Linked DNA regions of Danio rerio. Each later gene encodes a partner of the first gene's protein in a complex. Links are inferred from orthologs where the notes say so. Each region holds a gene or a part of one and is shown in the gene's direction. Other genes may lie near its edges.

Region 1 (4,269 bases):
AGGCAAGATGCATCAGGAGGGTTAGGCAAAAAATACCCTCTAAACTTTGCTCTTGATTAGAGCAAATTGAGACGGAGAAAAACAGCCCATCTAGCACAAGAAAGCACACAGACAAGACACAACATTGACAACTGGGATGGGAACAGGGGATATGGATGTAGTGCGATGAGGGTGGGCAGCCATCTGGTCCTGCAGCCATGGAGGAGCTGGTCGCAGACCCGCCCACTCCTCTCATGGGTGAAAGCATACGAAGGCATTAAATATTTCGTAAAAATATTGAATGATATTAATGATATGACTTAGTTCCGGAGACGTTTTACTTCTCTGTTTATCCATCTTATTTTATGATCAGTTTCTTTTGACTGCCCCCTGTCATTTTAAGGAATATCACAACAGCGAACACGGCAAATATAAAAGCCTCGTCTGTTTCGCGAGGTGCGCGTGCAGTCAGCGGAGGTCTGCGTTGCCAGGCAAAAGTATAAATTCTGCTTAACCCGGATGTAATTTTTGCAGTCTCCAATTTTTGTTCGCTATAGGCTTTGCTAGGCTTACTCTGTAAAAGTCAATGTTTCCCTTTGCATTGAACTTTGAGCGCATTACATCAGCTACATTACACATTAACTAAAGTTTAAAATATGATATTGTAGTGGATCACCCTTTTAATGTTTGTATAAACCTTTCTTATGCTGTAAACTCGCTTAGAATTATTCAGCAATGTTTTGCCACAAAATAAAAAAAAAACTTGATAAATACTTGGTTCTGCTTTAGTTGAATGTACTATTTACACTATTAGCAAACCATCAGCTAAGACATTTAGCTCTCTAACTACTAATTAGCTGCTTTGTAATAGTAAGGTAGTAGTTGGGTTTAGGTATTTGAGTAGGATTAGGGATGTACAATAAGATCAAACTTTATGAGTGCTAAAACATTGTAATATCTCAATAATAGAAAGCTAATAAACCAGTAGTAAATGGTGTAAATTGTTACATTAATTGTTACTTTTGTTAATGTTATTTACGTTTTGTCTGTAGCTTCAAGGTGAAGATGGCAGCAAAGATGCGGGCCGAATACAAAGCTGTCTTACACATGCCTGTGCTGAAGGAGGGCCGAGAAAAGGGTTCTCTCCACACCTCTGACCCATATGGCCAATCGGCGTACCCTCTGCCTGGTATGGCTCATAAACCAATCCTGTTGGCTTTTTCTTTATATCAGTATTTTCATTTAGTTTGTTTTTTTAATAAACCTCTCAAAGATTTCATTAACTATTAACTGTTTGACTTCATTTGTGCAGACACTACTCCAGAATATTTGGTGACAGGAACACACCCTTATCCATCTGCTCCAGGTTGAACCAGGATTTTTTTACTTATTTAGCCTAGATGCTAAACATTTCAACCAATTTATTTGAGGCCTAATAATTTTTTTTTTTTTTTTATTATTACGCTTTCAGGAGTTGTCCTCACTGCAGACACACAAATGCTGAAGATGCCCAGTGAAATGGGTGTTCACTCCATGGCCCTTGCTCTTCCTCCGTCTCAAGCTAGGTACTGAATTGTATTTCCTTATGGGTTGTTGTAGTTACTATTAAATGTTTTTAGAAAAAAAAAAATTATATATATATTTTTTGCCATAAAAAACATTTTAAAAAATTTAAAACCAGCACGACAACACTTATGCTTTTGTATTTAGGTTGCACAATTTGGCCTGAAATAATTATAATCATAGTTATTGTTATTATAAATAGTATAATTTTTTTTTTCAAACGAAAATTGTAAACAAAATAATAAATGTTATTACTGTCGAATTTGATTTAAAGTAATTGTACAGATTTCTATAATACCAATGTATGACTGTTGTAATTTCACAATGAGAAATTAAAGCTTCTCTTTGGTTGACCTCAGAAAACCAAATCATAACAAAGCATTTTTTTTTTTTTTGCGTGCATTTACATATGGTTACTTTGATTTCTAGACAGTAAGTCATGCCTGACTGTAAGTTAAGGAAAGAACCCCTTTTAAATGTTTAAAATTGAATTTAATAAATGTAATAATGTGAAATTGGTTACGAATTGGTTTATTATTAAAAAAAAGTAAAAAAAAAAAATGGATAGGTATAAACATTTATTTTATTTTCATTTCAAAATGTTGTTTTTCACCAGAATTATTTCACCCAAAAATTGCAATTGTTTTGAATTATCCTCATGTCATTCCAATTCCTTGAGGCTCTTCGAAACACAAATCAAGATATTTATATAGTATTTTAGATACATGAGAAGAACTTCTAAAAGACAGTAAGGGTCATGATGAGACATTTAAAGTCCAAAAAAAAGAAAATCAAGAATATTGTAAAATTATTTATTGTGACTTCAAAAACTGTTTTGTGTGCTAAAAAAAAGTTATTTTGACTTAGTTCACCTAAATATATTTTTGGGGAATTAGTCCGTTGACCAGCAACATCATGGACCCTGTAGTGAACCTGTATTTGGTGCTGTTAACTTGTGATCAGATCATTAAGACACATTCAAGGGTAAATTAAATCTGAGGTATTGTTTGTTTTGTAGGCAGGAAGCCAGTCGAACTGCAGCCAGTGTGGCAGAAATCCACAGACATGCAGGAGGAGCAGAGAGATCTCATCCCCCACAACATGCACTGGTCAGCAACAGATTTTACTTTTGTGTGTTCAGGTTTAACATGTATTATTAATGTTATGTGCTATAGTTAATGTATTAGTTTAGTTAGGGTTTGTATTTAGATGTAATTGTGTTACAGCCTCCAGGCTTGAATAAAGTAACAAAACCAAATAAAGATCCAAACCAGAAAATCAATTTAATTAAAATATAATCAATTAATAATTAAAAAGTCACTATTGTGGGGGAATAAAATGACCTTCCATGCAGTGTGCAACACAGCTCTTAGTGAATGAAAATATCCAGCTGATTTTTAATAAAAGATTCGACTCGGGAGTCATTTAAATGATTTGTCGTTCATCTGGATCTTTTTCCTGTTCGTATCGATGTTGACAAAATATAACCTTTTGTTATGGATAATATGGGCTCTTTAATTGAAATGATTCATAAATGTAAAGAAAAGAAACTAAAATTTCAAAGCTGAAGAGGGAAGGATCAACTTCTGCAGTCCAATTTTCTGGGTCTTTATCTAAACGCACATCACAAGCAACACTGTTTATATATATATATATATATATATATATATATATATATATATATATATATATATATATATATATATATATATATATATATATATAAAAAACAACAATAACTATGATTATAATATATATAATATAATAATATATTGTAAAAAATTAAATTTATACTTTTTATAATAACAATAATTATATATATATATATATATATATATATATATATATATATATATATATATATATATATATATATATATATATACTTTTTTTTAAATTTACAATCAATTTAAAGTTATTTTAAAATAGTTTTTTGTAAACTAATTAATCATTTTTATTTTCTTTTTTTTACTTTAGTTTTTATAATTTCAATGCTAATTAACTAAGCGCAAAACTGGAATATCCCATATAAGACATACGAATAAAGCAGCGTTTCCATCCAAGTAGTCAAAGAGAACAAAGTTGTCACTTCCTGATTAACTGGTGCCAAATATCAACAGTAAAAATGGAATTTGTTGCGGTAGGAGAAGCTGCATCAATTTTTTCCTTATTTAATAAATTACTTGCGCCTTAGAAGACAGTATGCCGATTCGCAGTGAATGTGCGGAGGCGTTTAAAGCCGTGAGACGCTGAGCACAGACGCTCTTGATAGTTCTTTAGGTCATTAATTGTATAATAACACTAATACTGAAACGTTTAAGGTGTTTTAGAATGACCAAAACAACATTTTATATGTTTTACAATGTGCTGAGCCTGCTGGTTTGTCCATTTACACACATTTTTATCATCACATGATCCCTTATAACAAAATCATATGACCGTTTTTAATGTGCATCTTTTTTTTTATGAAATAAAAAGTTTATCCTCAGGTATGGGCACATGTTTTTTATGTGCATTTTCTAAATTTATTCACATCTTGGCGTTTCCACTAACCAAGTTAATTTTTTTTTTTCATTTTGAGTCTCTCACACGCAAGGGCGGACTGGCCATCTGGCAGACCGGGGACTCTTCCGGTGGGCCGACGTACTTTTTGGGCCAGGCTGATCATCGTCTTATGATCTGATCGTCCCATAAAAGGCTTAGCAGCCTATCATTTTTTTTTCTGCC
Region 2 (3,634 bases), on another chromosome or scaffold:
GTAAAGTCTTAAATTTTCATTTTAGAGGACTTAAAAAGGTCTTAAAAGGTCTTAAATTTCCTGTTAAAAAATGTGCAGATACCCTGTTTTAATACTATGTATTTATATCCGCCTCTGTTCTAATATTACAGATTTTTATTTTTTCTTCTGTTTAATTAATAACAAAAGTTAAACTAATTCGGGTTATTTATTTATTTTTATTTTTTTTACCTGAAATTAAACATTTTGCAAGTGAAGTTTTTTTTTTGTGAACATTTGAAATAAATGTTGTACCTTGTTTAATTTAATTGTATATTTATATAAATATATTCAATGTTTGTGGGGTATGTTATTAATAACTAATTTAATGCATACTTTTTTCTTTGCCTGTGGGTTTTATCAATAATATAAAAAAATTACTCATTAATGAGAAGTTTCTGATCACATGAAGTGTGGTTTCAGCTTTAACATAAAGCTACTGAGTTATGTTTTAGAGAACAAACAATGATTCATTTGATCCTATTCGACTTCAATACAAAAAGTGTACGCACATTTTGAATGAATTAATGTGGCTTTCTATGCAAAGATATTATAGAAATTTAAATAATTGACATGAATCTGAATGAACGCCTGACACTTTTAATTTGTATGGCTTTTATTGCATTATTTTTAAAGCTGATGTTTTCATGTGCACTTTCAGTAAAGCTCAACGGTGGCCGTCATGTTCAGGGCATCTTGCGTGGATTTGACCCCTTCATGAATCTGGTCGTTGATGACACTATAGAAATGGCTCCAGGAGGACAAATGAACACCATTGGGATGGTGGTCAGTACTCATTACAACAATTTATTATTAGAGGCACAGTATGTCAGTTTTACTGCTAGAGGGTGTGTATTCACAACAAACAAACACAGATTTTTATGAGGCTAATGCCCTGTCCACACAAGCCCTGCTATTTTCTAAACCACTTTTTTCTGTGAGGTTTTTCCACATGAAAACAGCCAGGGTTAAGATTTTCCAAAACTCTGGGTCTGGTGTGGACACTACAACTAGACTTCACCTCATTGTTTGCCTCATGTTTTTCTGATTGGCCTACAAGACTGAGTTCACATCAAATGCGGAAGATCTGAATGCGGCAAATTTTGCACGTTCACGGCAAAAATATTGCATATATTGATTAGTTCGCACCACAGGATGGTAATCCACCTGTTCTCATGTTTGCATTGACTTGTATGCAAGTTACCTGCAAAAATACTTCCCCATTTGGTGTGAATCCAGCAAATGTGTCAATCTCTGCCAGTTGGTTCGGCGTGCCCTTAACATGGATCACAGTGCAATTTTCTGTTTGATGTGGACAGAGATTGTTTTTAAAACACAAGCTGGAAAAACTGTTTTATAAAATACCCTGTTTATGTGTGGACATGGTGTGAGTGTGGAATAATGGGAGTTATGGTTTTCATTACATCCTACACCACTTCTGCAGAAATGTTTGTGGATGAGCTAAAGTATAAAAGGAATGTATTAGCTTGGTTGTGTGAAGCAGAATAAAGGCTCTTACACACTGGGATGCTTTTCATTTGCGTTTATTGTCAGCGTTTCGCATCGCAGCGCTCCCATTGACAGTTTTGCACTTGAGCGCCTCCAAGTGCTGTTTACTGTAACTTCAGCAGCTCCCTGCACGTGAACAAAAGTGGCAACCTGATTGGTGGAGAAGGTTTTGACGCGGCGAGTCAAAACAAAAAAACGAGAATGAGGCGTTTTTTTTTTTTAAATGGCGCTTTTACGCCTACTGTTTTGCGTGTTGGTGTGCACGATCACCATGACACCCTTTATTTAGTCACGAGGCGTTAAACGACGGAAACCGCGAGCAAAAAACGTCTTGGTGTGAGAACATTAAAGTTATTGCTAATAAGACATAAAAGCAATGCGACAAAAAAAAAAAAAAGAGCTATTATTATGCCACACTCCACCTTTTCTGGTTGGGATCATCGTACTAAATACATTTTAGGGTTCTGTTATAATGCTGCTCTGTACAGTCTAAAAAATTAGGGCATCTTTGGTGTTTACCTTAAATAAAATAAAATGTAGTACAAATAAAATCGGATGCTTTTCCCGCTGCAACCCAGTACTGGGAAACATTCATACATTCTCATCCACACACACAATCGCAAAAACAGCCGCACTCCGCATTTTAGAATATGGTCAGTAGCGCATGTCTTTGGACTTGTGGGGGAAACCGGAGCACCCGGAGGAAACCCACGCGAACAGTGGGAGAACATGCAAACTCCACACAGAAATGACAACTGACACAGCCGGGACTTGAAAAAGCAGCCCTCATGCTGTGAGGTGACAGTGCTAACCACTAGTAGAACATGATAGCTTGGACTAAATGGCTAATCTCTTCTTTTTTTTGTCTTTTCAGGTAATCAGAGGAAACAGTATCATCATGCTGGAGGCTCTTGAGCGAGTATGAGAAAGACACCCAGTTTTTTTTTTCCCTCTTTTTGTTATTTTTCCCCACAGCCAGAAAACGTAAGAATGGGTTTCTCATGTCTGTTTACAACAAAGACTCAATAATAAGCAGAAATCCTTGATTTTGTCGACAAATGTTCAGTTTGTAAACAACTTTTTGTGTTTTATATATTTCCTCTTTGTATTTGTGTACACAATTCATAAAACATTTTGTGAATAAATGAAGTGTGATTATCCAAGTGGCATTTTTTGACGCATGTCTGATTTGTGTGATATTTACCAGGCTTTGCATTCACAGTCTCTGATAAAAATGAACATGTTTTTAATAACAGCAAAACTTGCTTGATGTTCAAAAATAAGGATTTATATATGGAAAATACGTCATTCAGCATAAAAAAAACTATATTTGTGTAAAAGGGAAAACACTTAATCTGATCTGTGCTTACAAAAAATATTCGAGTAAAACTAGTTGTCCCAAGTATGAGGGTAAAGTTAATCAGAATCAGAAAGCTTTATTGCCAGATATGTTTACACATACGAGGAATTTGTTTTCGTGACCGTTTCTACAGTGCAACAGAATTAGAGACAGGACGAAAAACAGATTATAAATATATTTTAAAATAGCAGTAGTGAATGCAAATATACAAATCGACAAGTGTATGTACAGGTATATGTATGGACTTGTGGGGAAACCGTTATTGTATGTTGTTTAATAAGTGTATGTGTGTTTAAAAAGTGTGTAGCAAGTAGTGATGTTTGTTTCATAATTATCAAGTGTGATAAATTATCAAGATGGATTGCCTGAGGGAAGAAACTGTTTCTGTGTCGGGCTGTTCTGGTGCACAGTGCTCTGTAGCGTCCACCAGAAGGTAACAGTTTATAAAGAGGCAGTGTGCTGGGTGTGAGGGGTCCAGAGTGATTTTGGCAGCCCTTTTTCTCGCTCTGGATAACTACAGCTCTCAGAGAGTAGGGAGGGTTGTACCAGTGATTCACTCAGCGGTCCGGATTATTCGACATAGTCTACAGAGGTTGGATTTGGTAGCTGAAGTAAACCAGACAGTTATTGACCTGCAGAGAACTGATTCAATGATGGAAGTGTAGAACTTTCAGCTGCTCCTTTGGGAGGTTGAACTTCCTCAGCTGACGAAGGAAGTACAGCCTCTGTTGAGCTTTTTTGACAATA
Region 3 (4,979 bases), on another chromosome or scaffold:
CTCACGTCCAAAACAATATCCTTCCTTGGATCCACGCGAAGAAAGTTACGACATTCAAAGGTAAGATGACCAGCTGATCAAAGGAGAGAAAGAATATATAGTTTGATTGTATTTATGCATAGACACACTTGTAAGTACACATAAATGTAATTCAATCAAAACTTTAAATATGCATTTTGTAAAGATGGATAAGTTAAATCGATCTATAGAGATACATGGATAGATATACAGAAAACAAGAAATGTAACACAAGCCAAACGTCAAATATGTTCACGTTTAGACCACGGGTGTCCAAACTGGGTCCTGGAGGGCCGATGACCTGCATATTTTAGTTCCAACCCCAATTAAACACATCTAAACCAGCTTATCAAGCTCTTCCAGGAAGGTCTATTGAAAGAAGTTGGATCTAAACTATGAAGGACACTCCAGGACTGAGTTTGGACACCCCTGGTTTAGACAGATAAATGGGCAAACAAATCCAAATTCATATGAAAATGTTAAAATATGTATTTTTGTAGATAAACAGAAAAACTGTCAAAAGTAAACGTAAATTAAACTTTAAATATATATTTGTGTAAAGAAAGACAAAAAAAAAAAAAAAAAAAACGCCATCCAAACAACACTTCAATTAAGTATTTATGTATATATTTATCTGTGGATTTGTGTGTAGATAGAAAGATGGTACATGGATAGATGGACTATGATTCATTATCTTTATTTATTTACAAGCAGAAATATAGAAAAAAAATCTACTTATAAACTGAAATATTGTTGGAAAGAAACTACAGAACAAAAAAAAAAAGCAAAAACAAAGTCAACTGTAAAGTTATGTTTTTGCCATACTCACGATAGCCACATCTTTTACATCCAGCTCTGATGTTGTCTTTATTTGGACCTGTTCATAAAAAGACATTCAATTCAATTTATATTTCTTTAAAAGTGTCATTTACATTGTTACATATATTCTGTATTGATCATATTTCATAATGGATTCATCTAGCTCACCATTTAAAACAATATCAAAGAAAGTATGTAGAATTAAAATAATGCGTCGTCATGAGATTTTATAAACATTATTAATCAGTAAACCGTAACTGTAAATGTAAAACATTCAGGAATTCAGGAACAACAGTCTTTTATTTAGGTAAATGTGTGCGATGTGAATGTCCAGACGAGCGAAGATAATCGTGCAGTGTTACTACCTAGAATAATCCCGAAGTAGCATATCAACAACAATCAGCAATGCTTATGGACAAACCCACAAAAGTATACCTGGGGCAGCCATGTTGTACTCGATTATAAATAGATAGAAATGATAACTTTCGTCGTATTCCGTCCGCCGCTTTTCAAAACACAAAACCGATCCGTCTGGTAAAAGAGTCCGGGTGGAAAGTGAACGAGTGCTCTATGGTACCATTTGGAGAACAGTTAATCCCTTCCATAGATGCATGAAAAATATGAATGTATTACGAAATATTAGCGCTAAAAAGATAAACGCAAGATGCTGCACTGAAAACCAATAAATATTGTCACGATAAGAGATAATTTGCCATATCTTTATGGTTTATCTGAATTTTGAGATATTGGCTTAAGCAACAATTTTTGGGGATACATTTTTCTGAATAGAAAGACACAATTTTCACTCGCAGGACAAAATGTTTTAAAAAATGCCAACACTACAATACTATACTACACGCTATAATTCAAAGACGACAATATAAGTGGAGATTATTTTCGTGATGTGCCCTGAAGTTTTAAACTTTACACATAAAACATGGTCATATTGATTATAATGATTGCTTGTAAAAATAAAAATCTGTCTCTCAATGTTCTATAATCTAAATGGTACGTTTATATTTACTCCGAGACTATAGGGGGCGATAAGGCCGAACAAAGTCTGCATGACGAATGAACGAAACTCTGCGGCGGCGTGACATGAAGCGCTTGTAAACAGAACATACTCTGGTACTTTATATCGGCTAGACGTGCTTCTTATGTTTTTGTAACATCTGCGCATATTCTGTACATTCTCTGTCATCAATGAAACCGTGGTGAGGGAAGTATACTCCAATAATACGCACTAAAGATGAGCAACATATATATTCAAGAGCCACCAACTAATGGAAAGGTGAGTTTCCATATCTCAAAATCATATTCATGATATATAATACTGCATATACACTAATTTGAGTCTGATTTTGCTTGCAATTTAAGTATTTTATTTACTTGCATTTTAATTATGAATTATGCAACGAATCAGTATTTTACGAGAACAAGCAAGTTAGTACCTTTATACATTTGTTCACGTATTTTAGAAACAGAATGGCTTATTAAACCTTTAAACTAATGCTTTAAAAAAACGAAAAAAACAATGAAAAGGTTTACACACATGTACATTTAAGATAAAAGAATATTCTCATATGTAATACAGCTCATCAGGGTGAAATTCTAAAAACCTTTAAATTGGTGAGATCTTTACTCTTTAATAGTGATCTTTAATAATGTGTATATAATATAATATATCTGACTACTTAAATAATACACAAGTGTTTAAGTTGTCATTCTAAATCTCCCAATAATATGTATTTAATAATAAAATGCTTCGGCGACGCAGTAGGTTGTACTGTCGCCTTACAGCAAGAAGGTCACTGGTTCGAGCCTCGGCTGAGTCAGTTGGCGTTTTTGTGTGGAGTTTGCATGTTCTCCCTCCGTTCGTGTGGGTCCACAGTCCAAAGACATACGGTACAGGTGAATTGGGTAGGCTAAATTGGCCGTAGTGTATGAGTGTGAATAAATGTGTGTGGGTGTTTCCCAGAGATAAGTTGCGGCTGGAAGGGCATCCACTGCATAAAAACGTGCTGGATAAGTTGACAGTTCATTCTGCTGTGGCGACCTCAGATTAATAATGGGAATAAGCCGAAATAGATGAATGAATAAAATGCTTCATTTTATGAGATCCATTTAAATCTCTTTAGTTTTATTTTATGCATTAGATGTGATAATAAAGGCTTTGTATGTTTATTTTAGCAGTTTTTTCTATTAACAGTTTTTCCACTGAAAAAAACAAACTGTTATAGTGTAAAGCTTTACAGTAAATAAAGCCTTTGAACTAAACTGGTGTTTTCTCACAGGTCTTGCTGAAGACCTCTGCAGGTGACATAGACATAGAGCTCTGGTCTAAGGAAACTCCCAAAGCATGTAGAAACTTTGTTCAGCTGTGTATGGAAGGTAGGTGGATTCACACACAAACTCATGCACATATAAAAGGCAATGATTTTATTATAATATTTTTTGCACTATTCATCATATCAAGTCATCTTCATACATAGACATTTGCATTTTTGCCTGTTTTTAAGGTTACTATGATGGCACAATCTTCCATCGTATGGTGCCAGAGTTCATAGTTCAAGGAGGAGATCCGACAGGCACTGGAACTGGTGGGGAGTCTATCTACGGCCGGCCTTTTAAGGTTGTTGTTGTTTCTGTAAATCATTGGGTGCTTTGTATAATTACATTGATGATCTACAAGTTATTTTTGAAGAAAACAATTACACTCATACCTCAGTAAATTTGGCGTGTCTTGCTATTAATATCTCAATTCTTTGTGGTATATTCAACAAGGTGGTAGAAAGATTCGTCCATATTGACATTTTTTTGGCATACACTCACATGAATGTGAATCTCCACTTTCAGCACATGCTAAAGGTGCTCTATTGGATTGAGATCTGGTTTTTGTGGAGGTCATTTGAGTTTAGAGACTCACTGTCATGTTAAAGATACCAGCTTGAGATGATCTGAGCTTTGTGACAGGATGCGTAACCCACAGAACTGCTACTGATTGGATAATTTATCTTTTTGGACCATTTTGTGTAAACCCTAGAAATGTTTTTTTTTCTTGTTAAAAATCCCTGTAGATCAGCTACAGAGTTTCTGAAATGCTCAGACGCCAACAACCATGCCACATTCATAAAATCCCCCTTCTTCCTAATTGTGATCGACAACTTAAAAGCTTATGATGTTTTTCTACTGGCCAGGAAATTAAAACTAGTTATTTCTAAGCCATCTTTTTATATAAATAATGTTGAAACAAGCCAAATATAGCTGTATGCATGCACTTTTTTTATTTAATATAACATTTCTTTAAAATCAGTTGACAATTTAAAAAAGACGAATTGTTGTAAATTATGCACTAAAATCTGTCCAGATTGAAGGTCTCAGATCACCAGTTTACGATTCGTAAACAGAGCAGCCTCTTATTAATGGAATGTTATTGTAAATATAATAATTAAGTCATATTAGTAAAAACAGTGTTATTAAACAGTATTTAAGTTTTATGGGGATGGATTCTCAGTGATCAGAAGATCAGAATGAAATACTCTCTCTGTTCAGAAAATGTCCTTCAGTCTAGATGAATACATATAAGCAGTCCACTGATTCTAATTAGCATTTGCTTAAAATGAAATTGAATCAAAACAGAAATGTTGTCCCTGTGTTATTATTAATATAACATATTTTTAACACTTTTACCTCAAACTGAATAGCAGTCTACACTTATAAAAAATACTTATAGTAATTATAGTGAATACCGTAGTGTTTTTGAATGATACTATTGTGAAATGTATTATACTAAATATAACTGTATTTAATACTCTATAATAGTTCAAAGAATAATACAAATTTGTTAATGAATGCTATCAGCATTCTGTAGCATTTACTATAATGAACTAATAAACTAATAAATACTGTAGTATACTTTAGGTTTTACTACAGTAAACTGTGAGCTTTGGTTTGAACAGCAGATCCTACTGATCACATTTACATGCCTAAATGCATTGAGATTCAATTTCTGTGAGCAGATAAAAGGGCTTATCTAATAAAGTGGCCAGTGAGTGTTTCTTTGTTTTGTGTACAAATGCTATTAGTCATTAATTGTTTTTTCCCAACTCAGGATGAATTTCACTCCAGATTACGATTCAATC
Region 4 (4,736 bases), on another chromosome or scaffold:
CAGTAAATAATATTTGACTAGATATTTTTCAAGACACTTCTATACAGCTTAAAGTGACATTTAAAGGCTTAACTGGGTTAATTATGTTGGCAGGTTAGGGTAATTAGGCAAGTTATTGTATAACGATGGTTTGTTTTGTAGACTATCCAAAAAATATATATAGCTTAAAGTGGCTAATAATTTTGACCTTAAAATTGTTTTTAAAAAATTTAAAACTGCTTTTATTCTAGCTGAAATAAAGAAAATAAGACTTTCTCCAAAAGATAAAATATTATCAGACATACTTTGAAAATTTCTTTGCTCTGTTAAAAATCATTTGGGAAATATTTAAAAAAGAAAAAAAAATCAAAGGGGGGCTAATAGTTATGACTTCAACAGCATATTTTTGATCCATTTTATATATATTTTTGATCCAAACATCACAACAGCGTTCATTTTTGTTAATTTTTTTACGTTAGCAATTTTAACTTCATGGGGACCTATTATGCAAAAATTCCCTTTATAAGAGGTCTAAACAGTTGTGTGGAACAGTCTGTAAATATAATCACCTTCTAATGGTAAAAATATATTAATTTTAGTCTGCAGAAAAACTTTGATTGACATTCTCTCTTTGTAGTGACAATCTGTCCCTCATTAGCATATTACATTAGTCTTGTTTTTGAATCTGCCACTATGCTGACACACAGGCATTTGTGGCTCCCCTTTTTAAAAAAGGGCTGGGAACACAATATCATTTGAATTTAAAGCGACAGTAACCAAAACGACATCAGAGACTTTTAAAGATTTCACAAACTTTATATCTTGTAAAAAGGGCCATAAAAAGTCCCCTTTAAATCAGTTTGATTGATGTAAGTTGAAATTACTAAAATTAAATTGATTCAACTTAAAAATTTAAAACAGCAACAAATTTTTTACAGTGTATTATGGTAATTACTTATATATTTTTAATGTATGAAATAATGAAATTATGATTTTTGGCTGGGTCAGTTGGCATTTCTGTGTGGAGTTTGCACGTTCTCCACGTGTTGGTGTGGGTTTCCTCTAGGTGAATTGAATAAACTAAATTGGCCGTAGTGTTTGAGTGTGGATGAGTGTGTTTGGGTGTTTCCCAGTACTGGGTTGCAGCTGAAAGGGCATCCCCTGTGTAAAACATATGTACGATAAGTTGGCGTTTTATTCCGCTGTGGTGACCCCTAATGAATAAAGGAACTAACCCGAAGGAAAGTGAATGAATGAATGAATGAATGAATGAATGAATGAATGAATGAATATTGCTATACTAATTTGAAAGATAAAATTGACATTATATTAAATTCAATTGTTTTTAACAATGTGAATAATTCAATAATTGTAATAAAAGTAAAATAAACATCTTATATATTATATCATAGCTGTATATAATACAATATACAATATTTAAAAAAAACTGTTTTAATAGGTTCATTCTATCGATTTTATTTACAGTTCTTCTCATATATTGGATTTCAAAGATAGATTTAACAAACTAATTACAATATGAATATTTAAAATTAAATCAAATTACTTAGATTAACTGTTTATTATGAATGTGACACTAATTTGACTCAGATTTAAAACACTAAATTAAATTATTTTAAGTAAAATGCACAATTCGATGCTGCCCTCTTGTGTGCGAGTCTTGAGATGTTTGCTGCGTAGTTTTAATACGGACTTCACCTCCCAGGATGCAACTGGTTTTCAGGAAAGGGCGGGGCTTTTGCTTTCAGGTGCATTGTGGGAGCGGGAAAACGTCGCACAAGCTCACGTTGTTCCGCTGCTGTGTTTCAACGAATCTGCAGATTCAAGGTACTGTAATGCTTTATGATTATAACCTGATAACTACGTGGGGTATTTTGCGTGGTTCTGTGCTAAAATATACAGTCCTTTTTCGATTATTTAGTAGAGGAACATATATTTCGGTCATTCATTGTTTGCATTCACGCGACTCGTTTGAGAGATCAATCTTGGATATTCATTAATGTCTATCGCTTCATCCTGTTATTGAGTTCAGTAACGTTATAAGTCAGTTTTTACAAGTACCGTAGCCAAATGATTTTATGGTGTTTCATATTCTAGCGTGGATTCTTTCCAGCTAACGTTACATGTTTAGAACATGATTCTTAAACGAATGATTCGTAAGAGTCGGTTCATTTTATTGAATCAAAAGCAAAAAAGGTATAATAAATCGTTCTAACGAGTCGGTTATTTTAAATTACTCAAAAAATATGACATATTATTTTTTTCTATTTAAGAGGTGACTTTGGGAGTTATTTTTTGTTTCATAAAACTAAACCTGGCTCTTATAAATAAAATCCAAGTCAAAGGGTAACCTTTGATATTCACAAAACATATACAGTCAAAAGCTAAAGTTAAATGTGTTATAACTATATATTTGAGTTAAAACTACACTCTGATTTCGACAGTATAAGCAAAAAGGCTGTAATGGTAATATACACTCACTTTTTACACATTCTTCATTAATCAGAAGCAGTCTACTTCAGATTCAGTGACGTTACGAGCTCCTCCCATGCTTACTGATATATATATATATATATATCAAAGACATTAAGGGGATGATACCAGAACAATTTTGAGCATGGTTGTTGGAAGATGTTGTAGTGATGCTATCATTGAGAAACCAAGTAAGACACAGGACAGCTAATGAAGGATCCAAATACAATTTTGATACCCATTATCAATAGGAAAGTAGCTAAGCAGAATCACTCTGCAATATTGCCGAGCAACATTGCTCAAAAATAGGTTTGACTAAAATGTAAGTCTGAGCCGTTTCATCTGAAAGAAACATACACTGAACTGATCTTAATGCATTTCCGTGTGTGTTTTGGTTGGTAAGATGGAAAAAATCCTAAACTTTATTTGATAGATTTAGAGCAGTAAGAGGGTAAAGATGCTAAATAAAAGTTTAGTACACAGGCAACAAATAGTATAGCAGGAATTTGACCTGACAATGTAAAAAATGCAAACAAATAACAAACTCTCCTTAATATGAAGAACTGTAATGTCACATGAGTGCAGCAGTCATCGGATAAACCCAAAGAAAGGGTTTGTGTGCCCGAGACGAGACGCATGCTGTAAATGCTCCACCCTCTTACAAGCAGTAGCTCATTTGCATTAAATAGGACACACAACAACTGTGTTTGGGGGGCATTTACAGCATCAGTCTGTGGAAGAAACTGAGCATTATGTACAGTATTACCTTAAACCCCCAGCCTGTGCACATGTTTAGCCTTTTCATTAAGGTCTCCCGGTGACATAATGATGTGCATGTTGTCGTCAATATTGTGGATGGGATGAGGTTGAATTATCAGCAAATTTTCACTTTGAAAGAACTATCCCTTTTATAACCATTGGTCAGTGTCTGTTGTCTATATATATATATATATATATATATATATATATATATATATATATATATATATATATATATATATATATATATACACATACATACATACATACACCACACACACACACACACACACACACACACACACACATACACACACACACACACACACACACACACACATACACACACACACACATATATATACACACACACACACACACATAGATAGATATATAGATGTATAGATAATATTTTTTTGGTAATTTTGTTTTTTTTGTCCCACAGTTCAAAACATGTCTATTGGCGTACCCATCAAAGTCCTGCATGAAGCAGAGGGTCACATTGTGACCTGTGAGACAAACACAGGTGAAGTGTACAGGGGAAAACTGATCGAAGCAGAGGATAACATGAACTGCCAGGTACTGCTGAACTGAAGAACAGTTTATCCCACTAAAATCGCATTCTTTTAATGTCTGTTGTCTCGAGTCATGCAACTGACTGCGTTTCTGTTGTGCTGCGAATCAGATGTCCAACATTACAGTGACCTATCGAGATGGCAGAGTGTCACAGCTCGAGCAGGTCTACATCCGTGGCAGCAAAATCCGCTTTCTCATTCTGCCTGACATGTTGAAAAACGCCCCCATGTTGAAGAGCATGAAAAACAAAAACCAAGGAGCAGGAGCCGGTAGAGGAAAAGCTGCTATTCTCAAAGCTCAAGGTTAGTTATTTTAAAAAAAGTTACCTTTTTTTTTAAATTCATTACAGTGTTTGCAGTCATATTGTGTAATTTTTGAGCCTTACTTTGCATTGCATTGGCAATGATTGTAAGCTGCGCCAGAGATGCCTTGAGACGGCATATTTTCCATTAAGCTATTGTTTACATTAAAATATTTGTTTACAAAAGATGCAAGAAATGCAATTGCTGTTCAAAATATTATTTACAGGATATACAAGAGCTATTTTATTTAAAAGAGATATGGCTAGTTTTATACTTTTAATATGAAAAGCACAGAAAATAATTTATTTTGTTTTCAAAAGTGCAAGTTATTTATTTTCAGAAAACTGACTGTTGGTTTTAGGTAATGTGTGTTTTAAATTGAGATCTTCAGTGTTGATGATCAATACATAATTATAGATAGTGTGTGTTCTTCAGTTATTGTAAAATCAAGCAATGCAACCTTCATTCAAAAATCTCTCACTTGTAATATCTAAACATACTTATTTGTCAAAGCTTGTCAGTGAAATATGAGGGCAAAACACACACACACACATACACACACACATACACACACACGCACACACACACACACACACACGCACACACACACAATAATCATTCATTAATCGT
Region 5 (4,708 bases), on another chromosome or scaffold:
ACCACACTGATCTGGATCATCTTCATCATCTTTGTCCGCCTGTTTCTTCTTCACAAACACGACCTCTGAATAAACCACGTCCTCAGACATGCTTCTGGAGGGATGCTGCTCAAAGCCTGTATCACAGAATGATGGGGAAAAGAGGAACCTCGTGCTCCTTTCTGTCAAGAATCTGTTGTCATACCTTATGAAATAGCAGCCTATGATAAAACCATTTTATAAAACGGATATGTCCAGTCCTTGCTGCTGATTGGTCATTAGCCGGGTTTTAATTACAACTACAGTAATGATCTTGTAGCAATACTGTGCAAACATGTCCGTGTGTTAGTATTAATATTTATTAAATGAAATATGAGTAGCCCCGCAAAATGTATGTATACGTTATTCATTTATTTAATATGTGTGTGTTTTGGGGTTAAAACTTATCCAGCTGCAGATATACACACGTTTCAGGCACACACGATCTAAGTTAGACGGGTGTTAATGTTATTAACCTCTTCTCGGACATCATCAATATATTTTACACATAAGGTTATTGTTAATATGTATTGTATAGGCAAACACTGTAAACAATAATGCATAGGCATACCATTTCACAAATATAGCGATCAAGACGGGCGAATGGGGAATAATCACCATTCAATATAATACACTGAACAGTTTTCCATCAGTCATCATAGATGATCAGTCATTATTTATCTGACAAAGTCAACATAGCAGATTCTCGTTTGCTCAAACATTTTAAACGATCTAATTTGGACAGGTTTAATTTATTTAATGGATGCATAATGAATGAAATATAGCTAATGTACAGGATAGGCTAATAGCCTACATCATTATATCAATGTAATGTACAAATCTTTTTACATTTAATAAATGTAAAACACTGTTAATCTTTTACTCCAGCAACTGAATAGTATATATTTGCTTAATTTTCTAATAATTTTTATAATGATCTCCCACATTAAATAGGCCTACTAGTAATTTATAGTAATATATTGAGTTCACCCCAAAAAATCAAATGGGCTCACTATTTACTCAGAGGTTCAGGTGGTTCCAAGCTTTTCTGAGTTTCTTTATTCTGCTGAACACAAGAGATGTTTTGAAGAATGCTGAAAATAATTATATGGAAGTTTTGTATTATATGTATTTTTAAAAATCCTAATTTGTGTTAAGAAGAAAGTAAATCAAAATGGTTTGGAACAAGTCAACAACCTAGTAAATAATGACAGAATTTTCGGTTTTGAGTGAACTAACCCTTTAAATGGGTAAAAAAAGAAGCTTGTTTTAAACGTTAAAAACTTAAAATAAATTTATAATATAGTTTATAATTAATTCGTCTGCATTTATAATAGTTGCGACATTTTCTGCGAGTTAGCATCTTACAATTTTGACTTTTGTCCAAATCTTTTTGATATTTATTTTATTTTGTTAGAAGTGTTTATCATAATTTGGATGTGTAAATGAATTATTATTATAATTATCATCGTCATTATCATTATAATATTTTTTTATCACCATCATCATTATTCTTCTTAATATTATTTTTATTAGCATCCTTTTGGGAAAGCGGGCTTTTATTTATTTTTTCTAATTGGAACTTTTATTTTGAAAGCCTGTTTTTTTTCGTCGCTGATTTCCACAGTGATGGACGGGTCAGTTGCTAGTTCCTCTGTGTGGGACACACAAAAAGTGTATAAACATCACGAGCAGCAAAATGTTGCCCAAACGCGACCAAAATACAGAGAAGGAAGACGCCTCAAAGCTGTTAAGGTCGGTTTATTTTATAAATGCCTTTATCTCATCGAATTGTGCAGCGTCAATGTAAGCAGTCATGTTGTCTTTAAGGTCTCTCTCACAAGAACTGAATCTCTGCTTATAAAAATAATGGCTGAATCGCTAATTTTAGGTGTACACCATCAACCTGGAGTCTCGGTATTTACTAGTTCAAGGAGTGCCCGCTATTGGAGTGATGGCTGAGCTGGTGCAGCTGTTTGCTCTGTATGGAGTGATCGAGGAGTACAGGCCACTGGATGAATACCCAGCAGAAGAGTTCACTGAGGTTTACTTAATTCAGTTCCAGAAGTTGACGAGTGCACGGTAAGAAAAGGCTGATTAAATCATGTCCCATGCGAGTCTGTGCCATATATTATATATTGTGCCATATTTTTCTTGTTGATGATATAATTTCAGAAAAGTATTCTTTGCATATTCTTAATAGTGAATCAAATTAGCAGCTAGTGACTATCAAAGTTCAACATTGTTCACAGTCAAATAAATAGTGGTAATGCTGATTTGAAGTCATACTTGCATGTGATTTCAAACCCAATATTAAAAGTACCATGGTAAACAATATAGGGAGCATGTCACAAGTTGTCATTGAAAGAATGTGTGAATCTAAAACCATCCTTACCTCAATGTACCATGTTGGTGCACTGCAGAGTCGCATTCACTTTTAGTTAAAGGGATAGTTGACTCAAATACTGTAACAATAACAATTTATTCACCCTCAAGTGGTTTGAAACACAAAGGAAGATATTTTGAAATCTGGAATCCAGTAACCATCAACTTGCATAGTAGGACAAATAAATAGTATTGAAGTCAATGGTTACCGGCTTCAAGCTTTCTTTAAAATATCGTTTGTGTTCAGCTCAGACGATGTTTGTGACATGTAACGGGTGAGTAAATGATGTCTATTTTTATTTTGGAGTGAACTGTCTTTGTAGGTTCCACAAAATGTGACTTAAAACATTATGATTCATTATTAAAATATTAAATAAACACATATAGAAAACTATATACAGTACACACACTACCATACAATTGTTTGGAGTCTTCCATTTTGAAAATGATTTTGAAAGAAGCATCTTATGCTCACCAAGTCAGCTAATATTTTTTTAACTAAAAACAAAGCATCAACAATCGGATGTATTATTACATTGTCACATTTTCTATCTTGTTTAAAAGTGTAATGTATTGTGTTGAGGATGAAGGGTAATTTTCATGCTTGGTACTCGCATTTATACATGGTTATTGTCACATGACTCTTCGGAAATAATTAATTTGCTGATTTGTTGTGCAGTATATAATTTCTAATTATTATCAATGTTGTAAAGTTGCACAACTTAACATCCAAAACATCTAAGGGTTTTTTTTTTTTTTGTTCAAGATTCTTTAATGTTCTTTAGTGTCTCTTTCTCTTTAATAACACTGTAAATCTCTTTACTGCCATTAAACATTTTAAGAATATTATAAAGAGTATTTATTGCTGATAATTCTATAAATACTTTTTTACATATTTTTTCCCCTCTAAACCAAAGCAAAAATCAAAGAATAATTATTTCAAATATATGGAATTAAGTAATCGTAGTTATTTTAATTATATTTTAATAAAACTATATATTTTTAGGATAGTGTCAAAGTAAAAATAGCTGTACTGGGATTTTTAAAAATATGCCTGACAAAAATTGTTTTTCTTATAAACTATTGTTACACTGAATGACATCCACTCACCGGCCACTTTATTAGGTACACCTTACTAGTACCGGGTTTGACCTCAGAACTGCTTTTATCCTTTCTGGCATGGATTTAACAAGGAGCTGGAAATATTCCTCATTAATTTTGGTCCATATTGACATGATAGCATGTCATTGAGCAGATAGGATGGATCCATGCTTTCATGTTTGAACTGGAGCAGATTGTCTCGACCATGTACATGCATAAATGAATTGAGTTGCTTTCATGTAATTGGCTGCATAGAAATTGGTGTTTACGAGCAGTTGGACAGGTGTACCTAGCAAAATGGCCAGTGAGTGGATATTGCCATGCTATATATATATATATATATATATATATATATATATATATATATATATATATATATATATATATATATATATATATATAATTTTTTTTTTTTTTTAAATTAATTAATTAATTTATTTTTTTACAGGGCAGCTAAAAGGCACACAGATGAAAAGAGCTTCTTCGGGGGTCAGCTGCATGTCTGCTATGCTCCTGAGTATGAAACCGTGGAGGAAACAAAGCAGAAATTACAAGACAGAAGGAGATATGTTAACTGGGCAAGCCGAAATGCAGGTATGGTAATGCATTGGTATTCTCTCTAAATAAATTGCATGTGTAGAAAGTCTAACAACTATCATATGCTTATTTTGTTTTCAGCACAACTACACAGTCAGCAAGCGGAAGTAAACACAGAGTCATCATCAAGCACAGACACACGAACAGCTGAAGCTCCTAAAATGCAGAAAAACCCTGAAGAAGCCAGAAGGGAGAACGTAAATTCTGACTATATGGGATTTCCTCTGTTGCCTTTGCCTCCAACAGCAGATATTTCTTATAGACTTCAAAATCATTTTACCCAGCCATCACAATTACAGTGGACCAATGAAACGACAGAGGATAAAATGGGCTCTCTGCATAATTTCATCCCTCCTGTACAAAAAACCTCAACGCAGAGTGAGTCTTCCTCATCTTCAGGTGTTAAAGAGGGAGATTTGAGGCAAAAACAGAAGATTTCCACTCCGTCTATTAGATTTATGCCAAGGACTACACATTTAGAGAGCAGAAAAAGGAAACTAGATGAACAAACCTTCTTTTTGAAAGAAGCAGATAAAACGGGGGTTCTGATTGGTCCAAAATTACCAGAGCTGCCCAAGTTGGACATGGAAGATTCTTCGTTAAATGT
Region 6 (4,977 bases), on another chromosome or scaffold:
TCTATCTTTTGTATAGAAGGAGGATATTCATATTCTATACAGAAGGAAGAGGGACTTCTTTTAAAACTGGTGTAAAAATTCAAACCTTCTCCTAAATATTCCTAAAACTAAGGAGATGGTTATTGATTTTAGAGAGAGAGCACAACGCAAAACTCATCCCACATTAATTAATGAGGAGCAAATTCAGTTAGTAATAAATTATAAATATCTGAGTGTGTTAGACAATAAACTTAAGGGATGTATTGACTGACTGTAAAAGAAAAAGCTTCAACAGAGAAATTACTTCCTTAAGAAACAATTATCTTTTAATGTTGACAACACATTGTTTATCATGTTTTATAGTACTTTTATTCAAGTACTGCAACACTTTGTGTGATCTGTTTGTATGGACATGCTTCTGAGGCCCAGAAAAGGTCACTGCTGGGGAAGGTGGCAACTACAGCCAATAAGTTGTTGGGAATAAAACTAAAGAGCATTGATAGATAGTACATACAAAGAAAGAGTACTAAATAAGGCTATCATGATTGTCAAAGATGAGTGACATCCTTTTCCATACACCTTCCAAGTGTTATTATCAGGTCATCACTATTGTGTTGCCAGATAAGTGAGAAATAGGACAAAATCTTAATTTATACCGTAAGCAGTTAAGTTTTTAAATTCCTCCTCCCTCAGTAGCAGTTGATGGCCAGTAGTCTAGATATTTATTTAGAGTAGGGGTACCATGTTTTTCATGATTTATTTATATAAATGGCAAATTTGAAATGTTAGTTGTCTCTGTGAGTGTATACTGCAAATGAAATTACCCTACAGGGACAAATAAATTAACCAACTAGCTAGCTAACTAACTAACCTAACTATATACACCCTCTCTGGGGAAGAAAATATTGTCCATCACTATCCACCACTGTACATGACATTTCAAACATGACCTCTTTTGAATAGATGGTAATGAAATGCAAAAACCTACTGGGCAAGTCTTCGGTTAAATGATTGATGTGGGATATTTGCATTTTTTTTTATTTATATAATTGAGGGTCAATAGTTTTGCAAAGCTAAATTACTGTACAAATCAAAGAGAAATTAGATGTGTTGTGCTTTCAAATACAAATCTAAAAGACTGTAAATGATTGCAAGTTTCCGTTCTCGTTGAATGAAATGATAAAATGATCCACTGCTGCTGTTTTGGGAGTTGTTAAAAATGGTACAAAATAAATATATAAAATAATTTATACATATTAATTTTTTTAAAGGGATAGTGATGAAATGAAATTATGTTCTCATTTACTTACCCTTCACTTGTTTATTTCTTCTGCTGAACACCAAAGAAGATGTTTGGAAACTGGTAACCATTTCTATAATATGATGAAAAACAAATACAATAGAAGCCAATAGTTACCGGTGTCCAACATTTTCGAAACAACAATACCAGTTTTAACATACTTCCAAATATCTTATTTTTGTTTTCAAATGAAAAAAAAGAATCTCATTAAGGTTAGAAACCCCTCAAGGGTGACTATATAGACAATTTTGAGGAATCTAAACAAAAGACAATGGTCCTTACGTATTTCCTGTTTTACATTTTAAATTTCTATAGCTTCCGAGAATCTAAAAAGAGCCACATATTGATAAATAATGTTATAAGAACTGTTTTAACATTAAGTTATGGTTGAATTGCCTCTTGATACAGCTGTGAAACAGTTTTATAACAAGCAGGAAATGTTTATGGGCCAACGACATCATCAAACGGAAATAGTTTATAGTAAGTACATTTTTATTTTTGGATAAACTATTTCTTTAATTTCAGACCTCCACTCCAGCTCAACTGAGGATTCACGGCTCTATTCCCCGCCTGTCCAGCGAGTGGCGCAGCGGGCAGATCCGCTCTTCTCTCCTGCCGTGCGGTCAAAGTGCGCTCGTAGTCCTTCCCTCTTTCGGCGGCAAGGCGTGCGAGTGTGCTGCATTAGCTTATACTATTCAAATAAACAATTTTTGTGTCTGAAAATACTACTTAAGTAATCCAGTCATGGTAAGTTCATCGTTATCTCTTTTATTTGTATCCAAACCTTCAGTTTGGCGAAAGAGCGTAGACGTTTTCATTCATAAATACGCTGATAATGCGGCTAGGTGTTAGCATCAGGAACGCAGACTGGACGTTGTTTTCAGTCATTTTCAGTGTTGTGTTAGAAATGTTGAGCTTTGCTGATAAATGTTCCTCCTTGTTCTCTTACAACCTAGTCGGTGACTCCCAAAATGCGATTAAATGATATATGTGTGGGAAAACTAAAGATAAAAACTAACGTTAAAGGAGTTTTTTCTGCTATTACTGATGCTTATTTGCAGCTAATTCTGGTGGAAACCAAAAACAATTAATGCTGTAAATTATTATATTGTTTTATTGAAGTTATACAATATATATATATATATATATATATATATATATATATTGTGTGTATGCATGCGTGTTTTGATTTTTTATACCACAAACTACAGTAATGAGAATTTGTCATTACAATTTAAAATGAAGTCATATCAATTGTATCTGTTTTTGTTTTGTTTTTATTATTTGTTTATTTTGCTTGTGTAAATTCATGCGGCTAGTGTCAAAACTTTTTACTAAAAGTTATAACAAGCTGATGAAGAAAAAAAACTAAAACCCAAAATGTAAATCTTTTTTTTTTTCTATTTGGTCAAATATGACTGAGCATCACCGGAGGCTATGCTAAAGTTTCTTCTAAGCTTTTCACTCACTTGAGAATAAAATCATCAACATTTGTAGTATTTTACTTCTTCAGGAACAATATTATGTTGACATGGAATTGTTTGAAAATGACACTTAGGGATTGATTTCGAATGATGTTAATTGTGTAACACTGATCTTTTCCCTCAGAGTTTGCCGCTGAACCCAAAGCCCTTTCTGAATGGTCTGACAGGAAAGCCTGTGATGGTGAAGCTGAAGTGGGGCATGGAGTACAAGGGCTACCTGGTGTCAGTGGATGGGTACATGAACATGCAGGTATGTTTAAAAGAGTTAACGATTCTATGAAAATCCAGCTCCTTAGTAGGAAGAAAATTTAAACTATTCTTTTTAACTCGAGACATACCGTTGTATATGCCATTATGGAGATGCTAGACACACACAGACATCTGCTTAAAGCAGAAGGTGGCCAAAAATGTAAATATTGTAATGGCAACCTAGCTGTCAAGCATATACACTTCATATGAAAACCTCAATATTTAGCAATTCTGAGTGTGCCTTACACAAGTGAGTGGGCTTTATAAACACTCCTTGACACACTTGCACTAGTTTTGTCTATTTGTACCAGACCCTCTCTTTCAACCACTTCATAGCTCTATAAAACATTGTGCATTTCTGAGATTGGTTCACACAGGTGAGTGGGCTTGACAAACCACCTGTAGAAATGCTAATCTCTCTAAATGCAAGTTTTTCTAGATCTCTTACAAGGACTTAATAAAAAAAAAAAAACAATGTTTACCTGTGACTGTACCACAAATTGTTTAACTGGTCATTTCCTTCAACCTTAAATGATCTCTTTTGCACAATATTGTTCTGTCTTATATAAAAGTACTTGTATAGTCTGTCTAAGGTTATGCGTAAAGTTTTTTTTTTTTTTTACTATTTATAGACCGTTTCAATGTGGTGATGCCATTGGCCCATGAATATTTCCTGCTTGTTGTCAATTCATATCTGTAACAAGAGGCGATTCATTCATAACTTATATAACAGCTATTATAACAGCTATTGTAACTATCAATATGTGGGACTTTTTGGACTCTCAGAAGCTACTGAAAATACAGTAGGACCATTGTTATTGTTTACATCCCTCAAAAAGGTCTTTAGTACATGTATAGTTAATTACTGCTCTGCTATGTAGTTATGTATAGGTTTAAAATCGCTCTTATGTCTATAAGGGTTGTTTATATTTATGATAGTTTATTTATGTTGCACTGTGGTCCTGCAAGACATTTCACTGTGTGTCCACAGATGTAGCGGAATGACAATAAAACTCAACTCGAGTTGATACTTTTGCAATGCCCTGTTTAAAATGTTTTAGATAACCATTTTTATCTGGAGAGTTCTTAAAGCAGGGATGTCAAACTTTGTTCCTGGAGGGCCGCAGTCTTGCATAGTTTAGTTGCAACCCTGCTTCCCCACACTACAGTTTGAGCATGTGAAATTCTGCCGTTTGGTGCTGCAAAAAGGGGCGGGATTAAACAAGCTGATTACGATTTGACCATATTTAAAATTTCTGTACAGAGAGGTCGTGTTTTGATCTTCTATTGGTCAGAGTTCACCAAGCTTTAAGTTTCCAACACATCGAACTGCGAAACTTGTGGCACGAGCTTGCGTTTCCTGTCTAAGGCATTTACTTGCTAATAAATGGAAGTCTATAGGGGTGCAGTGTGCCTGCCGCTTTACCTGTAGGTTTCAAACGACTGTAGGACTCAATTAGTTTGATCAGGTGTGGTTAATTAGGGTTGGAATTAAACTGTCCAGAGCTTTTGGTCCTCCAGGAATTGAGTTTGACACCTGTGCCTTAAAGCAACTATTTAAAAAAAAAAAAAAAAAAAGTGAATCTTTCGAAGATGGTAGAATTAAACTATTTTAAGTTTTTATCTAATTTTATTTGTTAATGTTGTTTGTCTTTTTATTGTTACATATATTGTAATGATATTTTGTATATTTCATATACTTTTGTTATAAGACTCGCAAAACTGATATGGCAATAAACCCTAAACTGCCTCTCTCTTTGCGATATTTGTAGTTGGCCAACACAGAAGAGTATGTGGATGGAGCGTTAGCTGGTCATCTTGGTGAGGTGCTCATCAGGTAAGCTTTTGGACGTGGAAACTCCGACATGGCAATAACTGAAAATGTACATTTTAAATTATTACATCAATGTTTTCTTCTTTGCAGGTGTAATAATGTTTTGTACATTAGAGGAGTAGAAGAAGAGG
Region 7 (3,889 bases), on another chromosome or scaffold:
TCTCACGTTCCATCCTTCCCTCACTTGTAAACAAAACCCTGAGATACTTAAACTCCTAAGGACTTTTCTCCACCCTGGAGATGGCAAACCACCTTTTTCCGGTGAAGCACAAAGGCCTCGGAATTGGAGGTGCTGATTCTTATCCCAGCCGAGTCACACTCGGCAGCAAACCGCCCCAGTGCATGCTGAAGGTTCATGTTCGATGAGGCCAACAGAACAACAACAACGTCTGCAAATAACTATAGTCCCTGAACCAGACCCCCTCCATTCCAAGACTGCGCTTTGACATTCTGTCCACTAAAATTATAAACAGAATTGTTTACATAACTAATACAACCTTTTTGTGTGATAAGTGTTACCAAAGCTGTAATACATAAATCTGCTTTGAATACATGAACACAGAGAAATTAGCACAATAAATTTTTTTGCTGGACTTGTCAGCTGCTTTTGACACTGTCAACCACCAGATCCTGCTATCTACGCTCGAGTCACTGGGCGTTGCGGGCACTGTTATACAATGGTTTAGATCTTACCTCTCTGACAGGTCATTCAGGGTGTCTTGGAGGGGAGAGGTGTCCAACCTACAGCATCTAAACACTGGGGTACCTCAAGGCTCTGTTCTTGGGCCACTTATGTTCTCCATCTACACATCATCTCTAGGACCAGTCATCCAGAGACATGGATTCTCCTACCACTGCTATGCTGATGATACCCAGCTATACCTCTCTTTTCATTCTGATGATCCCTCGGTTCCAGCTCGCATTTCAGCCTGCCTGTTGGATATTTCACACTGGATGAAAGATCATCATCTTCAGCTGAACCTCGCAAAAACGGAAATGCTTGTAGTTTCTGCCAACTCGACTCTTCACCATAACTTTTCAATCCAGATGGATTACTGCATCCAAAATGGTGAAAAGCCTTGGAGTAATGATTGATGACCAACTAAACTTCTCTGACCACATTTCTAGAACTGCTCGATCGTGCAGATTCGCACTCTATAACATCAGAAAGATCCGACCCTTCTTATCTGAACATGCAGCTCAACTCCTTGTTCAAGCTCTTGTTCTCTCCAAACTGGATTACTGCAACTCTCTACTAGCCGGGCTTCCAGCTAACTCTATCAAGCCTCTTCAACTGCTCCAGAATGCAGCAGCACGAGTTGTCTTCAATGAACCTAAACGAGCACATGTCACTCCGCTGCTAGTCCGTTTGCACTGGCTGCCAGTTGCTGCTCGCATCAAATTCAAAGCTCTGATGTTTGCCTACAAAGTGACTTCTGGCCTTGCTCCTTCTTATCTGTTCTCACTTCTGCAGATCTATGTGCCCTCCAGAAACTTGCATTCTGTGAATGAACGTCGCCTCGTGGTTCCATCCCAAATAGGGAAGAAATCACTTTCGCTTACGCTCAATCTGCCCAGTTGGTGGAATGAACTCCCTAACTGCATCAGAACAGCAGAGTCACTCGCTACTTTCAAGAAACAACTAAAAACTCAACTATTTAGTCTCCACTTCACTTCCTAATCTGCAATTGCCTCTCTGAATATCACACTAACTGTACCAAAAAAAAAAAATACTAATACTACTAATACTTCCCTTCTTAGACTTTACAGACCTGAAACTTGCCTATAGCACTTATTCATTGTTGCTCTTAGTTGTGTAAATTTTTTCCCCTCTCCTCATTTGTAAGTCGCTTTGGATAAAAGCGTCTGCTAAATGTAAATGTAAATGTCAATAAATGTGTCTGGAATATGTAACTACTCATGAAATATAAGCATTAATCTGATAATACATAAGTCTGACAAATGATTAGTATTTTAAGTGTCACAAGAGATACAAATGTATTGATAAACATTGTTTGTTATGCTTCAGATAAAAAGGAGAAGAAGAAAAAGAAGAAGGAGAAGAAAGAGAAGAAAAAGGCTCTGAAGGAGGAGAAACGTGAGGGGCGCTCTGAAAGCTCTGCATCTTCTCCTATCAGAGTAAAGAAGGAGAAGGAGGATGTGGCGTATGAGAAATACAGCGTGAAAGGACCTGCGGCTAATAGAAGAGACAGAGCAGATGAGCAGGAGCAGTTAAAAGAGAAGGAAAGAGAGAGAGAAGAGGGCAAGAAGACAGACAGAAGACATGCAGAAACACAGCAGAGAGAAAGAGACAGAGAAGGAGAGAGAGAGGGGGACAAAGAACGAGAGAGAGACAGAGGAAGACAGAGAGACGGGGAAAGACAACGAGAGAGAGATGGAGGAAGACAGAGAGATGGGGAAAGAGACCGAGAACGAGAGAGGGACGGAGGAAGACAGAGAGATGGGGAAAGACAACGAGAGAGAGATGGAGGAAGACAGAGAGATGGGGAAAGAGACAGAGAACGAGAGAGAGACGGAGGAAGACAGAGAGATGGGGATAGAGACCGAGAACAAGAGAGAGACGGAGGAAGACAGAGAGATGTGGAAAGAGACCGAGAACGAGAGAGAGACGGAGGAAGACAGAGAGATGGGGATAGAGACCAAGAACAAGAGAGAGACGGAGGAAGACAGAGAGATGTGGAGAAAGTCAAAGAACGAGAGAGAGATGGAGGAAGACAGAGAGATGGGGAGAGAGACAGAGAACGAGAGAGAGACGGAGGAAGACAGAGAGATGAGGAGAGAGTCCGACAACGAGAGAGAGACAGGGACAGAGAGAGAGACAGAGGTAATGGCAAACACAGAGATCACAGTCGTGAAAGAGAACACAGGCGAAACTGATCAAACTCAGTAGTTTACATTTTCTTTTGATGTAAAAAATATTCATGTTTTTATTGTATTGTACTACAAAAATGTAAATAAATGTTTCACACTTTTTTTAAGTCTTTCTGGAATAATTGACTAATGGCCACTCAATGTTAAATTACACACATTTTATTTGACTAATAAATAGATTTCATTTTAAGTTAGCACAAATACTGTAACAAGAATAAAATAGAATAAATGTCCTGATGAACTCCAAAGTCAAGGTGATGCGAAGAATTCCTGTCAATTGTAAACCTGAAATCATTTGTAAAATAAAATTAACTATTAAAAGACATTGAATGTAGGCGACGCAGTGGCACAGTAGGTAGTGCTGCAAGAAGGTCGCTGATTCGAGACTCGGCTGGGTCAGTTGGCGTTCCTATGTGAAGTTTGCATGTTCTCCGAACGTTCATGTGGGTTTCCTACGGCTGCTCCGGTTTCCCCCAGTCCAAAAACATGTGGTACAGATGAATTGGGTAGTCTAAATGTCTCCCAGAGATGGGTTGCAGCTGTAAGGGCATCCGCTGCGTAAAACATATGCTGGATAAGTTGGCGGTTTATTTCGCTTTGGCGACCCCAGATTAATACTAGTACACCCAGTGGTTGAACTAGGTATTACATTCCTGGATCAAAACAAGCGCAGGTTGCCAGATTGAGGACCAACAGGAGCGAGCCTGACTATCGAGCCTAAAGGCTGATTTAAATCGTGTTCTAAATAAAAGCAACGGCACGTCTTTGAAGGAATATTTTCCACATAGTTTTTGTTCTAATCAACATCTTGAATTGATATATTTGAAACGGTTTCTATTAGGGCTGCACGATTAATTGAAAAAAGGTCACAATCTCGATTTGACCTTACACGATCTTAATTCAGCTTTTCTACGATTCAGCCAATTATTTATTCAAGGTCAGGAGAGAAGCATAAAGGCAGTCAGACAAGTCTTCACAGCAATGTGGACACCTACAAATGGCTATGAAAGAGATGCATATTGTATTTATAAGGTATAGTTCACCCAAAAATGTAATTTCTGTCTTAATGTAATGATGTATTCACGACCGCGAAATCACACGTGAGCTGACTGCGAGCTGTTTGTTTACTACTGAGAGGATGTGCATGCTCGCCAATA

The links.
Region 2: plrg1 (region 1) and snrpg share a complex: the UniProt entries of both Homo sapiens proteins name them as parts of the minor spliceosome. The link is inferred for Danio rerio from reciprocal best matches to the Homo sapiens genes PLRG1 and SNRPG.
Region 3: plrg1 (region 1) and cwc27 share a complex: the UniProt entries of both Homo sapiens proteins name them as parts of the minor spliceosome. The link is inferred for Danio rerio from reciprocal best matches to the Homo sapiens genes PLRG1 and CWC27.
Region 4: plrg1 (region 1) and snrpd3l share a complex: the UniProt entries of both Homo sapiens proteins name them as parts of the minor spliceosome. The link is inferred for Danio rerio from reciprocal best matches to the Homo sapiens genes PLRG1 and SNRPD3.
Region 5: plrg1 (region 1) and rbm48 share a complex: the UniProt entries of both Homo sapiens proteins name them as parts of the minor spliceosome. The link is inferred for Danio rerio from reciprocal best matches to the Homo sapiens genes PLRG1 and RBM48.
Region 6: plrg1 (region 1) and snrpf share a complex: the UniProt entries of both Homo sapiens proteins name them as parts of the minor spliceosome. The link is inferred for Danio rerio from reciprocal best matches to the Homo sapiens genes PLRG1 and SNRPF.
Region 7: plrg1 (region 1) and rbmx2 share a complex: the UniProt entries of both Homo sapiens proteins name them as parts of the minor spliceosome. The link is inferred for Danio rerio from reciprocal best matches to the Homo sapiens genes PLRG1 and RBMX2.

The regions. Positions count from the first base shown.
Region 1 is NC_133176.1:27,252,236-27,256,504, forward strand, and holds part of plrg1 (pleiotropic regulator 1), read left to right. Parts: intron 1-1,031; coding exon 1,032-1,168; intron 1,169-1,291; coding exon 1,292-1,345; intron 1,346-1,450; coding exon 1,451-1,544; intron 1,545-2,560; coding exon 2,561-2,651; intron 2,652-4,269. UniProt on the Homo sapiens protein: Involved in pre-mRNA splicing as component of the spliceosome. Component of the PRP19-CDC5L complex that forms an integral part of the spliceosome and is required for activating pre-mRNA splicing.
Region 2 is NC_133198.1:36,935,801-36,939,434, forward strand, and holds the end of snrpg (small nuclear ribonucleoprotein G), read left to right. Parts: intron 1-679; coding exon 680-804; intron 805-2,401; coding exon 2,402-2,452; 3' UTR 2,453-2,696; downstream 2,697-3,634. UniProt on the Homo sapiens protein: Plays a role in pre-mRNA splicing as a core component of the spliceosomal U1, U2, U4 and U5 small nuclear ribonucleoproteins (snRNPs), the building blocks of the spliceosome.
Region 3 is NC_133185.1:12,054,683-12,059,661, forward strand, and holds the start of cwc27 (spliceosome-associated protein CWC27 homolog), read left to right. Parts: upstream 1-1,910; 5' UTR 1,911-2,086; coding exon 2,087-2,128; intron 2,129-3,131; coding exon 3,132-3,228; intron 3,229-3,356; coding exon 3,357-3,469; intron 3,470-4,948; coding exon 4,949-4,979. Other genes in the region: protein SREK1IP1, read right to left, coding at 1-73, 848-895, 1,273-1,285. UniProt on the Homo sapiens protein: As part of the spliceosome, plays a role in pre-mRNA splicing. Probable inactive PPIase with no peptidyl-prolyl cis-trans isomerase activity. As a component of the minor spliceosome, involved in the splicing of U12-type introns in pre-mRNAs.
Region 4 is NC_133196.1:14,699,819-14,704,554, forward strand, and holds the start of snrpd3l (small nuclear ribonucleoprotein D3 polypeptide, like), read left to right. Parts: upstream 1-1,707; 5' UTR 1,708-1,824; intron 1,825-3,673; 5' UTR 3,674-3,681; coding exon 3,682-3,807; intron 3,808-3,913; coding exon 3,914-4,106; intron 4,107-4,736. UniProt on the Homo sapiens protein: Plays a role in pre-mRNA splicing as a core component of the spliceosomal U1, U2, U4 and U5 small nuclear ribonucleoproteins (snRNPs), the building blocks of the spliceosome.
Region 5 is NC_133194.1:42,804,304-42,809,011, forward strand, and holds the start of rbm48 (RNA-binding protein 48), read left to right. Parts: upstream 1-1,570; 5' UTR 1,571-1,647; coding exon 1,648-1,773; intron 1,774-1,909; coding exon 1,910-2,100; intron 2,101-3,952; coding exon 3,953-4,098; intron 4,099-4,182; coding exon 4,183-4,708. UniProt on the Homo sapiens protein: As a component of the minor spliceosome, involved in the splicing of U12-type introns in pre-mRNAs.
Region 6 is NC_133182.1:19,363,494-19,368,470, forward strand, and holds the start of snrpf (small nuclear ribonucleoprotein F), read left to right. Parts: upstream 1-1,836; 5' UTR 1,837-2,023; coding exon 2,024-2,026; intron 2,027-2,887; coding exon 2,888-3,013; intron 3,014-4,784; coding exon 4,785-4,849; intron 4,850-4,936; coding exon 4,937-4,977. UniProt on the Homo sapiens protein: Plays a role in pre-mRNA splicing as a core component of the spliceosomal U1, U2, U4 and U5 small nuclear ribonucleoproteins (snRNPs), the building blocks of the spliceosome.
Region 7 is NC_133196.1:41,950,125-41,954,013, forward strand, and holds the end of rbmx2 (RNA-binding motif protein, X-linked 2), read left to right. Parts: intron 1-1,869; coding exon 1,870-2,738; 3' UTR 2,739-2,835; downstream 2,836-3,889. UniProt on the Homo sapiens protein: Involved in pre-mRNA splicing as component of the activated spliceosome. As a component of the minor spliceosome, involved in the splicing of U12-type introns in pre-mRNAs.